Alligator mississippiensis: one gene and its partner. The protein of the gene in region 2 interacts with the protein of the main gene of each other region in a biochemical or structural test. Links are inferred from orthologs where the notes say so. Each region holds a gene or a part of one and is shown on either strand. Other genes may lie near its edges.

What was found. The genes of interacting proteins can lie anywhere in the genome.
Region 1: the proteins of SH2D1B (region 2) and signaling lymphocytic activation molecule interact in a test that uses a peptide from one of them, tested with the Homo sapiens proteins (2 studies listed by BioGRID). The link is inferred for Alligator mississippiensis from reciprocal best matches to the Homo sapiens genes SH2D1B and SLAMF1.

The regions. Positions count from the first base shown.
Region 1 is NC_081838.1:15,888,358-15,895,677, forward strand, and holds the start of signaling lymphocytic activation molecule, read right to left. Parts: upstream 3,016-7,320; 5' UTR 2,665-3,015; coding exon 2,601-2,664; intron 1-2,600.
Region 2 is NC_081824.1:258,330,324-258,337,366, forward strand, and holds the start of SH2D1B (SH2 domain-containing protein 1B), read left to right. Parts: upstream 1-4,021; 5' UTR 4,022-4,138; coding exon 4,139-4,284; intron 4,285-7,043. UniProt on the Homo sapiens protein: Cytoplasmic adapter regulating receptors of the signaling lymphocytic activation molecule (SLAM) family such as CD84, SLAMF1, LY9 and CD244. In SLAM signaling seems to cooperate with SH2D1A/SAP.

The sequences.
Region 1 (7,320 bases), on a different chromosome or scaffold from region 2:
CTGCCTATAAGTTCATCACAGGGGCACAGAAGGGTATTGGTGAGTATTTATTCACCAAGGCGCCCCCGGGGGTTACAAGAAACAATGGCCACAAGCTAGCAGAGAGCAGATTTAGACTGGACATTAGGAAGAACTTCTTCACAGTTCGAGTGGCCAAGGTCTGGAACGGGCTCCCAAGGGAGGTGGTGCTCTCCCCTACCCTGGGGGTCTTCAAGAGGAGGTTAGATGAGTATCTAGCTGGGGTCATCTAGACCCAGCACTCTTTCCTGCCTATGCAGGGGGTCGGACTTGATGATCTATTGAGGTCCCTTCCGACCCTAACATCTATGAATCTATGAATCTATGAATGAATCTATGACTGATGGTCTCCCTAGATGACTCTCCTATCCCTCCTGACTGGGACGCAGTGATTCATATTCGCCTCTGGGTACCAATTTACAAAAGAACTGTTTTGCTGGAAAAACAAATGATGAACCCTGACAGCTCATCGGCTGTCGCCGTTACCCGTGGAAGATTAAACGGCCCGGGTTGCCACGCTGCTTCCTGTGAAATCGTTCCATCACAAGCGGGGGTTGCCCCAACAAAGAGGAAAAAAAACAACCACAAAGGATTTGAACCCCAGAGAGCACCAGCTCCCCGCGCAGCCTCACTGGGAACGTTCCCGTAAATACAGCACTTCATCGCAGACCCACCCGCCCTGCGTGCAGCAGCTCAGTCTGCTGACATCTCCCACCGGGTACCAGAGAGACTGTTATAAGCCTGTTCTGAGTCTACAAGAAGGTTCCTGGTCTATTCTGGGCCCCAAGAAGCCATTATGCAAATAACAACCTGCTCATCTGAGTTAAATTTTTACTGTATTGGCAGGTGGGGCTGGAGGGAAGGTTCTTGTGGAGCTTTCTGGATGAAACCCCACTTACGTGGCTACCTCTGACTGGAGGGGGCTGGTGTTTATGGCTCAGAGGGTCTATTTCAGGCCTATGTTGAAACCCACTGAATGTACATTATTGCCATAAGGGGCAGCCTGTTCTTCTCCTTCGGGGTATTCGGTTGAGGCATTGCTGCTGACAAGTTCTGGTTAGGATGATAAGGATTCCAGAGGGAAAATCCCCATTAAATCATCTTGAAAATCCCTCGGCCCTAACAGGAAAGAGCTCCTGGAATGAGAGGACATCTCGGAGCAGAGGGAAGCAGACCCACTGAAGTTAGATGGCAGGCACGAAGGGTGGAAAGGGGCTGAACCCCCAGCCAGGGGCAGGGAAACCATGGGATTCCCCCGTGGAAAAGCTGACAGTGGATCCAGGGCATGGTTCTGACTTGAAAGCAATAGCAATTGCTTTGGGCCAGTGATTGCACAAATGGGACTTTTCATTATGCCACTGGAGAAAAGAAAAAACCCATGGGGATTTTAAAAGGCAGGCTGTCAGACATTGCAGAGCCAGCAAAACCAACAAGAAATTCCCGGGTGGCTGCTCCCCAGCCTTCTCTGTTGGTCCTTCCAAGCAATCTCTCTTTGCCTGGCGCCCGTGGCCCATGGACCAATTGGTATTTGGGGCATTGCTTTGGGAGCTGGCAGAGCACAGTTTCTTTTACTTTGTTTGAGAGACCCCTTTTCTGCCTTCCTCATGTGTATTAAGCCCTCTGTCATATCAAAGATGTTCCCATTCTCATTTTGGACCATTGTGGCTTCTTCCTTCAACCTCAGAAATGTCAGGAGAGGACGCCCCCACTATATACCTTCCCTGAGCAACCAACAGATCCCAGGCTTCCACATCCTCTCTCCTCTCAGCCACATCCCTATTCATCCACAGCCCTGCACATTATGCACTCTCTTCTACACAGGAATGAGACAGGCTTGCCATCAGCTAGCTCACCCGCTTGTCAAAGCAGGGTTTCTTTCAGTCCACTTCCTAGTGCTCCAAGCAGCCCAGCTGTATGGTATCTGAGCCACCCCACGAAACCAATCAACAGGCTGACAGATCTTACTTTTCAAGTTTTACAGGCCCAGCCTGTCCCGGTTTGACCCCATTTCTCTTACCAGCGGCTGTGGCTACTGGTGTTGCTTTCCTGTCCTAGTTCTAGTGGTCAATACTATTGTTATCATTATTCTTAATTAATTGGGTAGTGCCTAGAAACTCATTTATAAACCAGCCCCTCCTCTCCTCCCATTTAAGAAACCGCAAGTACTGCTGCACTAAGTAATTGAGTCTGGCAATAGTACGTGCAGTCCTATTGAAGTCAACAGGACCGGCACTGTCTTATTATTGAGGGTGTGCCTCATTATTGTCTCATTGCTGAGGATTATTGAAGTAGCTGATGCTGAATTATTTGCAACAAATCACGTGTGTTGCAAAACATTTCATTATTGCAAACAGAGCTGTCTTCCTATCCACCTGTCCACCCGTCCCTTGGGTCTAGAGAGTCCTGTGAAAGGCACACAGAATAGACAAAGTCACCTCTCTTCTCTGGCACCATGTCATCTAGCTGCCTTGCCCAGCATCATGGTTTATGAAAGCAAACATCAAACGCAGAGCTAAAAGTCACTCGGCAACACTCCAGCTGCTTGACACAAGAGTAGTGGAAGGAGAGAAAAATCAACGTACCCCAAGCCCAGCAGAAAGAGATGATCAGCCAGAGGCATACACTGCAGTCCATCGCTCGATGCATGAAACTTGACTTGTGTGGACTTTAGTCCCAGCTCTGCTGTCTGCAGCTAGGCATACTGGTGAGAACAGGTGTAGTCAAATGAGACTGACGTCTCTTGGCGGGCTGCGTGTTTCCTGTTTTCTGGTTTGGTGATTTTTTTTCTTTTTGTTGTATGGAAATATTCAAAAAACCAAAATCATGCCTCTTAATGCTTCAGTGCAAGGTGCTTAGGGAAGGGGCTCACAGCAAACCTCGGCAATCCTACCAAGAGCTGTGCGAATAAAAACCCCATCCACTCAGTTTTATAAAGTCAAGGCCCAACCCCAACTTCCTCCATGTACGGGAACGGTGTGCCTGAAAAAAAAAGATGATGCTCGTTAACTGACATGGTCCTACCATAGAGCACCGTGGTCTCTCTGATAATAAGCAGCATTTCCGTCACTCGCACAGTAACAGTAATCCAGTCTAATGCTCACCCTCACAAATGCGTGACAGAGGGAAAGTAGAAAGCACGTGAACACCATTTGACAACAGAGTGGTCTACAGAGTTACAAACCATTTCCTAACCCACAAAAAAGTTTTATAAGGTCACCTGCTAAACCATGAACTATTTATGTATTTGAAATAATGTGGGTTTGCAAAGGTTGCCCACATCACTTTCTCAAGCTGTTGCAGGTGAGTGGAAGAGTTAGCCCCACTTCTTTTTAAATAACTCCAGAGATGCGGTCTCTCAATTTCAAAAGCTTTAAAGAAAGCACCCACTGCTGCTAGGCTTGGCTTAGGCACAGCATCCTCTCTTCTTTTTTGCAGAACCCAGAGCTAAGTGCTTCACAAGTCTGGATTGGTACCCAAAGGTGTTTTCTGGCTCCATTCTAGCTGGGAGCAGCATCCTTGTTTCCCCTTGCTGTACAGCCAGCGTTGCTCCATCAGCTGTGTCTGAGCATAGATGGGCCCAACCCTTCAAAAAGCAGCAGGTTTTATTAACATGCAATATCCTCATCAGTTTTATGTACCTTAGTCTCATGTACCCTAGTATGGGAGTATTGCACAGTCTGGAGGGCTGGGTGAGGGAAGGCAAGGGTGCGATCTCCATTTTACAGGTAGAGAGGCGAAGATCCCCATTGATTCAGGGTTGTAGGGTGCCTGGTGAGGGATGGAGGCAGAACTTAGCTGCCCAAGTCCTGGACTAGATGCTGCCTGACCCCGGAGGTCCCAAACCTTCAGAAAAGCACTCTGTTCTGAGCCTCGTTCTGCTTTCACCAGTGCACAGATACATCCTTGCCTTTACAGGCACCTGGCTTGCACCTCATTTCTGCTTGGGTCCAAAAATGAGGCCTTCCTCCGCCCACATGCCCTGGGGGGTGCTCAGTTCACCTGGCACCACCCTAGCAGGAGCAGCCTTCTCTCCATGGCTTGTAAGGTGCATCTAAAAGAGGAGCCCTGCTGTTCTCCCCATCCCTTTCCTATCATGTGTGCAGAGCAGGGCAGGTCCCAGACCTGCTCACATCTCCTATTTCACAGGGGCACAGAGTTGCAAGGTCATAGGGGGTCACCCAAGCTAGCCCCTGTCCCAGCCCTGCCCAGGAGGCTGGGTGGGACATTCTCCATCCCTCACCTGCTGCAGCCAAGACTTTCAGCCCCAGCCACCCCTCATCTCCACGGCAGGGACTCACCTGGGCTCCAGCTCCTGCTTTGCGGATGGTTTGGACACTTGACCTTCTCAGGGCATTGGCAAAAATGCCGACGCACTCCTAGAAGCCTAGAAGGAAGCAAGGACTTCCCCCACCAGGGAGGTCCCTGCCTGCTGCCACGTTTCTTCTGGTTCCTTCTTTTTTGACCTACAGAAGCTTGAGATCTTTTTCTGGCCCGTGGCACTGCTGCAATTGCAGGAGCATGGGGTACCCCCCTACCCTCGAGCTGGGGGCAGTCTCCGTGGACATGGGGTTTGCTTCCATGCAAACAGAGGAAGGCCAGGCTCTCCTTGTAGCCCAGCTGAGCTGTGCCAACCTTGAGGAGGGCTGGGCATGAAGGCACCTCTCTGCAGCAAGTGCAGGGTTTTGGATAGAGCCCAGGGGCACATCTACACATGCACTTTGGTGCTCCTTTAAAGCACATTAAAGCATCATGTAAAAAGCGGTGCTTTTTACTTAATTTGTATTAACATAGACTCATGTGCATTAAGCATCACTTAAAAAGCATTTGCTTTAGTTAATGTGCATTAAGCCAAGCTAATGTGCATTTTCCTGGTACCTCATAATGGAGGTACTAGATTTCATGTGCATTAACTAAAGCGCATCAATGTATGTGTAGATGTGCCCCAGGTGCTTACCGTGAGGTCAGGCAACCGTCTCCTGAGCACCACGGAGCTGTTTGCTAAGCAATCATGGGCTGGTACGGCGGGCTGTTGAAGCCAGGCTCCACACTTCCCCAGCTCGCATCATATCGATTCTCCTCTCTGCACTCTCTAACCTGGAGCAAGAGCAAGCCCTGTGGGGTTAAGAGAGGAGGGGTGGAGGGGGACAGGCACTATCACTATCATAGGAAACAAAATTGAACAGTTGATAAATATAAAATCCATGGTAGGAGGAACATTTTGACCTGTTTTTGCTTGTGGTGACAATCACTATCAGTGGGAGAGTGCAAGGCAATCTTAGTGATGTGTCGCAGGACCCCCAAGGTGCTTGGGGCTGCACAAACACCGGACCTCTTTGGTCCCCAAAAGCTTTCTGTCGAATGTACCGAATTAGCTACCACCCCGCAGGAAAAGGGCCGAGGCGTCGCTGCGGGCTGTTCCAGGCACACTCGTGCTCCGTGGAAAACCGCAATCAAAGCTGACTGTGCAAACAATAGTGTGTTATTGGAAATAAAAATGACAGTTGGCTAACGTTTCTTTCTATTTTTTTTCATGGAAAATATCAAATGGAAGAAAATTGTTTTGTCTTGTCTGAAAACATCTGTTTTGGATTCAAACGATTCATTGAAAATCTATTTTTGCAGGGGTTTCTTCCTATCCCCCCCTTTCTTTTTAAATCTTGTACCTTTTTTAGTAACAAAAATAAAAAAAAAAAAATCAAATTTAAAATGTGAAAATGGAGAAAAATGCTAACCAGCTTTTAGGGTTTTTTTTTTTACTTAAATGTGCAAGAAAAGTATCACGGGGAAGGAAATGGTCATTTGCTTGGTTTTTAACACCTTAAAAAGACATGCTTTCCAATGGGAAGAAAAGGTTTTACAAAGCAAAAAAGTGTTTTTCTCTCTCTGCTTTAGGTTTTGTTACCTTTTCCGCACTTATTCCAGTGGAAAAAAAAACAGGAAAAAATGACACGTGGAAATTTCCCCACCATGTCAAAAGAAAACAGCACTGAAATATCCATCCAGGTAAAATATGAAAGTATTTTTTCGAAATCTGCCATGTTGCCTGTTTAAAAATATTTTTTTCAACAATTAAAACTAAAAATGTGCTGGTGTTTTAGTGGCAAAATACAATTTATATCTGACAGTGGGGAGGTCACATTGACCAGTTTCCCCCCCCCCCCCCAAAGGACGGGGACACATTGGAGAAAGCCAAGTGGAGGGAGACAAAAATCGTTCAGGGGCTGGGGGACAGGACTTGTGAGGAGAGGCTGAGGGAACTGGGCTGATTAGTCTGGAGAAGAGAAGACCGAGGGGATTTAATAGCAACCGTCAGCTCCCTGCAGGGTGGGTCCAAAGAGGATGGAGCTGGACTGTTCTCTGTGGTGGCAGATGGCAGAACAAGGAGCAATGGGCTCAAGCTGCAGCAAGGGAAGTTGAGGTTAGATGTTAGTAAAAACTTTTCTCACTAAGAGGATAATGAAGCACTGGAACAGGTCACCCAGAGAGGTGGTGCAATCTCCATCCTTGGAGGTTTTTAAGACCTGGATAGATAAAGCCTTGGCTGGGATGACGTAGTTGGGGCTGGTCCTGCTTGGAGCAGGGGGTTGGATTAGATGTGACCTCCCGAGGTCCCTTCCCACCCTCATTTGCTAGGATTCTGTGATTCTATAACACCACCCCTGTTTCTCAAAGCAAAAATACTTTGTCTGAAACATTTTTACCAGCCATACTAAACTCATTCTAATACCAATATACAAATCAGTTCCCCCTGGCCTTCTACGTTAAGATCTAGTCATTAGTGCAGGAAGCGCTTAGGGGGAAAAAAAATAAAGGAAGTTAAAAAATACTTAGAAAGACTTCCATTGAGAGGCCGGGTGAGAAGTTGAATGGAACAAGGGCGATTCGTACATCACGAGGACTGTGTTCCCAAGAGGCGTATTAGTGTAAACAGGTAATGAGTAAGAGAAGTCAGCAGAGGTGTAGGAAAGAGTGAACAGTGCAGAGCTAGCTGGTTAGGTATGGTCATCCTTTCACAACACCGTGATGAGATGTGCCATTAAACCCTACTCTGGACCGTTGGGAGGAAGTGTGCTGGACATGTCTGAGTAACCCACTGAGCTCCGGGCTGCGAGACCCAAAGCAAAACAGGATCAGGAATAGGAATTGGGCTTTATACAGATGAAGTGCATATAGGGCATTGCACTGCACTGGGTATTTATATAGTAAAGCTATTTTTGAAGGTCTATGAGGGTCCTCCTACCTCAGAGCATGAATCTACCTCTAAGAGCAGGTGTTAGAAAGGTTTTTCTCCGCTGTCACACA
Region 2 (7,043 bases):
TTCATGGCTTGATCAACCAGTGAAGTTGCATTCATGATATTACAGGGTGGTGACCATTTGCTTTGACTAGCTACACTTCTAAATTTTAACTGCAAATACTGCTTCAATGCTTTGATGCTAATTAGAGTTGTATCTGTTAGGGTTCGATAAATTGCTTTTAGTTTAGGACAGCCGTGTCTTAGTTTTCTTGCCTGGTATAAAACCCATTATAGTGTCACTGAAAGCAACATACCTGCAGTGATTTATTCTGCCTAAAGAGCTTTTATGCAGTTCAGTGAAGCAAAATAGGGTACATTCTCTATTTTAGAAGAGTAATCTCTTGAACAGTCAAACTTCAGCCAGGGGATGAATAATGAATTTGAGATTGCGAATGAGAAACTAGGAATATGATTAGGAATTAGGAATGAGTAAGAAGACTTAGTCTGGTGGGAGACTCTGCACATCACTCCTGTTGGGAAGCCCAGTTTGTTGTTATTCCAGCAAGGCTGCATCCATGATGGCCAACACAGAGCTCTTGTTTTGCTAAGAAGCTGTTGCTTTATTGTTCCTTTCCTCATGTCCATTAAAATGAATACATCAGAGGGAGTAACTTGTTATCATAAACCAGAACCTGATGTAACACTAGCCCTCACAACCTGTCAACTGTGCAACTGTGTAAGTGAAAGGAGAGCTGCATTGTTCTCTTTCCTACATGTGGGTTGTTTAAACGCAGAGGAAACAATCTGCTCAAAGGAGGCAGCAGTGTGAGGCATCTATTTCATTTCAGAGCTGGCATATCAGCTGAACTCATATTGCATTTATTCACTTATGGAAACTTCAGTTGATTTTTTGATCAGGAAAAAATGGGCTCTTTCCGTGTGTAGGGAAATGTTATGCATAATTTATTCATAAACAAAAAGAATACTACCTCGTGGTCTGCAGAACATGGGTCAGGATGTAGCTTGATTTTCCTGCCCCCTCCCCCCACTTTTTTCCTTCTCCATTTTTGGGGGTTTGGCTTTGTAGGTGCTAAAAACCAAGTCTCAGTTTCCCCTTGAGTACTTTATAAAGGTTACTTCTCAGGGCTGCTTTTATGCTTGTTTCCTAATGGTCTTAAAAGTCAAACAGACATGCATGCCCACTTTCTATCTTGATCTAATCTTGGTCTTCTACTTTATTAAGATGCCATGTGGACAACTTGGTAGCACGGCATATGTTTTATTTCTAAAGAGCAACATTAATAAACTTTCTCTTTCTACACAACAGAACCAAAATTAAGTCAAATCATCAGGATAGGAAATGCCTAAATAAAAGTTGTTTGTGCAACTTTAAATCACCCCCTTTGCACAGCCTTTAATTATGTGATCATTTTTATTTCCACAGGACCTCTATCATTCAGTGTTCAAGGAGGTGTTCTCTTTGAATGAGCAGCCGCTCAATATTTCTTTCACTTCACTATGCTGTCCTCTTCTGAATATTAAATTATTAATTCCTTCCTGTGTTTTTCTGGGGTGTTTGTGCATGACTAGATGTTGTAGGAAAAATTGTATGTAAGTGTGTAATTAAGGTCTATATCAACATACATATGCACAAAGGGAGTCAATTAATAGCAGTATTTTAGTACAGAGTGTGTATGTGTACGTGTGTGTGTGTGTGTGTGTGTGTGTGTGTGTGTAATTTAATGCAATTTACTAGGTATTTTATAAGTGGGGAAAAAACCAAATTCGATCATTTGGCATCCCTTTGATGCCAAGTTAGCATCTCTAAAGTGTAGCCCAGACCTCTTCCACTGGTGTTAATGGAGAAACTGAAAGCAATAGTGAGCAGTCATCTTTTTCAAGCGGAGTAGCATTAGGTGGGGATCAGACAAAGACATCAGCAGTAGACATGGCAGATACTTTTTTTGACAGCAGATGAAAGGTGAGACCCTGGAATCCTGGGTTCCACTCCAGGCCCCAAAACAGAGTATACAGGTTCTGTTCCCCCTCCTTCCCCTGCTGCCTCTGTAGTCCAGCATCTTTGCCCTTTCTTCCTAATGGATGACTACCTATAGGGCTGTGCAAAACAGCACCACTTCATTTCAATTTCCATTTCACCATTTTGATGGGACAGTGTTTCATTTTGAGTTTCATTTCATTTTGAAAGCACTGTTCTGCTTCATTTCTTCGAAACTGTTTCAACGTTTTCAACATTTTGCCCATAGGCTATAATTGGGAAGCATGAAACTGCCTATAACTTTGTCATTTCTTGCCTGATTCAGATGCAAATTGTGGGATGGTAGCCCCTGCTGAGGCCACAAAGCCTGTCAAGTTTCAAGGAAATAGGTGCAGGGGTTTCTGGGAAACTGCACCTCAAAGTCTTGAAAGCAAAACTCATGTCACGTGTGTGTCTTAAGGTACAGGGGGGTGAAAACTGCAGGGATGGTAGCCCCTGCTGAGGCCATAAAGCCTGCCAGCTTTCAAGGAGATAGGTATAGGGCTTTCTGGGAAACTGCACCTCAGGCTGTGGACAAGCAAAACACATGACATAGGTGACACTGTGTGTGTCTGTCTGTCTGTCTGTCTGTCTGTCTGTCTGTCTGTCTGTCTGTCTGTTAAGGTGCAACTGGGTGAAAACTGCAAGCATGCTATCTGCTGCTGAGGCCATGAATCCTGCCAAGTTTCAAGGAGATAAGTGCAGGGGTTTCTGGGAAACTGCACCTCAAACTGTTCAGAGCAAAACTTGTGTCACTTGTAAGTGTGAAGGCACAGAGGCAGCTCAGTTCAAAGAATGCTTTTTATGCTCTTTTTCCATCCCTTCCCCAGAGCACTGGGATGGGAAGGGACCTCAGGGAAGGATGACAGTCACTGGCCAGCTACACAGTCAATATGAGAGCAGTCCTTGCCCCCTCTTCCCACTCCCTCTCCTTAATTTCTCTTTAGCTGCAAGCAAGCCCAGCTTTGAAATTCACAATGTTTCAAAACTTTTGAAACATTTTGACTGCCCTCATTTCCTTTCGAGGCTGTTTTGAAGCCTTTCATTTCAATTTCTCTGTTTCGAGCTCGAAACAAGTCGAACCAGCGTCAAAACCAAACAGCCGGAGAAATTTTGCACAGCCCTACTATCTATCTGACTCAGTCTCACAACCCTTCCCCACCTCAACAGACACCTTAGCTTAGCTTCTTGCCTCAACCTATCCTTCCCAGGAGGAATCTCTCAAATTGGTTCCTCTCTGCATTCAGGGTAAATTACTTCCTCCCCATGATGCCTGAGGAAATTATTGTGATCCCAGGAGACACAGTTTCATAAAGCTCTGCTGCTTGAGGCCCCATTGACAAGCAAAAGCAATTCCAGAAGCTTTGGTCTGCCCCAGCAGACCTGACCTGGACAATTCTCATTAAAGGCAAGACATATGTGCAAACTGCAACATTTTAAATGGTTCTAACTTGAGTGGATTTTCATGACAGCATAAAGTACAGCATTGACACCAGGATAACCTTTCACCCCCATCAAATGTCAATCTGGTACCATACTCCAAAGTACAGGGGCAATAGAGCTTCTTAAGAAAACGTTTTGTAATTTTTTTAACATGATTAAAATGCCTTAGTTTCAACTTAGTTACAGGGGTGTAATCTTATTTTCCAGAAACAGCTGCATTTTTCCCATGTGGAGGAGTGGGAAGGCATCTTGAGGCACATAGCTCATATGGAATATTTCAGTCCAGATAGTTAAATTTGGGCAAGGTTATAAATAATGAGAAATACAAGCTTTAAATAAAAACTGTTGGGTATATAGGCACTGATGCGCTTGTTGCTTTTACTTAAATTTTAGCTGTCATATGGCCTAAAACTAAAAGTAACTGAAATATCAACTCTTTTTAATGGTATAATTGCAGTTCTCCTTGGTGATGGAAACTAAGGACCACTACAAGTGAAACCATTGACCATTTTTATCACTTCCTGTGTAGATTATACATATCTGATCTGTTGAAAGCAGCCTGCTAGTAGAGTCTGGTTAGTAATACCCACACAGATAAATTCATTTATGTAGTGAAGACTTGAAATTGTAATTGCAGTTATCATCTTGACAACTGAATTTGGATTAAATCTTCTTTTAATGCCAGCTTGCTGATTTCATCTAGGATTGCTTTAAAGACAAGGGACCCTGTTGATACTCTTCCATGGAGTACCATGCAAAGTACCCATTTTATCATGGGAAGATAACAAAAGAGTCCTGTGAAGAGTTACTGACCAAGAAAGGAAAGAATGGTTGTTTTTTGGTACGAGAAAGTGAGAGCGTGGCAGGAGCCATATGTCTATGTGTCTTGTAAGTATTGTGCTTACATATTTAACTATTATGTGAATTTTAAGGTAGTTGCAAGAGTGAATATATCACAAGGGTGAATATAATACTGAAGTAGAAAAATATTAATATGCTGTATATCTCTGGTTACGGATTCTCTAGACTCTTTCTCTGGACCTCAAAGTACCATATAAAGATTTAATTAAAAGCTCTGCCTCACTGTTTGAGACAACTTAGAAACAGAGGTAAAGTGGTCCGTCCAAGATCACAGATCAAGTCAGTGGTTAGCTGGGCATAGAAAATGACAATATCTAGCCATTGGCTTTAACTGTTCTGTTGCTCTGTCTTACCTATGTATTTTACAGGAGGGCAGCAAAAAACTTAGAAACTTGAAAAATGGAGGCGGTGAATCAAAAGCAAGCAAGCCTCTGAGTGTCATACGCAGCACCGGGCTTGATTTTTTCAAAGGAAATGATTTTTGGCTTCTCTTTCAGAATTGAAAAGAAGAAGTAGAAGCATAACACTGGGTGGGTGAGTGGGCCATGAACCCTAAACACTGCTTAAGGACATGGGGGCGGTGGGGGGACTGGAATTGAGAATAGGGGCCAGCGGCCAGAGGAGCTGGGGGGAGAGTAACTTCTTTTTTAGTTGCCAAAAATCCATATTTAAATGGCTGCTCAACAAGTATTGGAAACCAAAAAAGGCGACATCTACCTCCCTAGCAGCAAACCTACATTTCTTATGCACCATGTATCCTTACCACCCTGGCAATTCTGGCCTGTTAGACCTCAGTAAAGAGGACTTAAACATTCAGTTCTTGTCCTTTTTACATATTTAGCTTTCCAATGAAATCAGTAGGTCTGCTCCTTGCATGTTCTTGTGCATGTTCCTGAGTCACAGATAAGTAAGCCTGTTCTCAGTCTTCCTTGTACTGAGCTTGTGCGGCTTTCTATTCCTGTTGATGACCTTCCTTTCTGGATAATAAGTTTTGAATACCACACTGAACTAATTCCAAAATTCAAGGAACTGTTCTAGGCATCAGTAAGCAGAGTCCTATTGACACTGGTGAAAGTTAGGAGAAAAAAATAATGGCAGAAATGGAGGAGACATGGACTGCCTGACATACAGCTATGTGAGGAATGGGATAGATGGAAAATGAAGATAAGGGGAACTGAGGCATAGAGCCCTTGGCATGGAGAAGAGAATATGGTCATTGGGAGCAAGGGAAAAAATAGAGTCTATCTCTGGCATGGGAGTCAACTGGGGATCCTAGCACTGGGGAGAGGGGGGAATGAAGTGTATAATGACCCATAGCTGCCAGGGGGAAAGAGTCAGGAGGAGTGAATGTTTTAAATAGGGGTTTGAGAGAGAGGCACACAAGGAGATTTTGGGGAGAATGGAGGAATACAAGTTACTCTTAGGTGGATGCAAAAGTGTGTAATAATGTAAGCTAACTCCAGTTAGCATTTTTAGTGCTTTAAGCTGCTTGTACACACCAGGGAGGTTTAATTTTCCCTAAATTGAAACAGTGGGTTTTTTTAAACACCGCTTCAATTTAAGGAGAATTAAACTGAATTAAACCCCCATGGCATGTACACAAGGGTGAGGGCTCAATCTTTACCTATCTCTTCAATGGTGGGGGCAGCGGGTGAACTGCCGGCAGGCTGAGCAGTCCCTGAGCTGCGCGGGGGTCCCCCAGGTGGCACCTGCCTGCTGGCACCCAGTTCAGGCAGTCCAGGGGAGCACCACAGCCATGGAGAGAAGCATTGCTCCCCCACCCTTCCCGCTCCCCTTCAACTGCGGAGGGAAAAACGAGGTCCCCGCAAAGCTCAGGCAGGCAGGCAGGCTCCAGGGAGGAAAAAAAAAAAAAGATCAGGCTCACTGCTTTTTTTTTTTCCCCTTCAATGGATCCTGCCTGCATGGGCTGCCTTTGGGTCCCACAGCCCCTGAGCTCTGCAGGGCCCACCAGTCCCCAAGTACGTCAGCTTCCAGTGTCCCATGCACTGTTGCACTTCGTCAGGTAGCAAACTAAAACACCTTGGAGGTGCTTTATCTTGCTACGTAGCAAAGTCATTTAAAGTGGAATATGCCGCCGAGTGTGCAAACAGCAATGCCATTAAAGTGGTGCACAAGGGAATTTAAGCCACTTTAAAGACCAATTTTGTGGTGTGTACGATGGCCCATAGGGAGACAGTGGATGTGATGCCGCTTCATGTGTCAACAGAATTCGTAACTAAATTGCAGGAAAAATTCTAGCTGAAGCTACCTATGGTACTTCATAGTACATAGATCAGTCATGATGTGAAGAGACAGTGGGATTACAGGGATGTAAACAGAGTACACTTTCGCCTGTTAGGCAGTGTATCATTTATAATGGTGCCTTAGCCCAAGAAATCTAACCCTAACTCTCTCCTGGTTGAATGTGCAGAGCTAGTCTAGCAGTTAGAAAAGTTCTATTGGTAATTGCAAAATTAGGACAATTTTATTATGTTGCTGATCTATTAGAGAACATACTCGTTTAAAGTCGTGCAATGTTCTGTTATAACGTTGTTGGGCCCCCGCCTGCTAGTAAGTAACTACTGTGATGAAATTGGATTTGCTTAACGTTATCTCGCTTAAAGTCACATTTTTCAAGAACATAACTACAACGTTAAGTGAGGAGTAGCTGTTGACATGTCCATGTTTATCATACTAGGACCATGATTCCATAGTTAAGGCTGAGTCAGAAGTTTGCAGTTTAACAGGAGGTTTAATTATTTTGTTTTTCATAAGTTATAATAAAA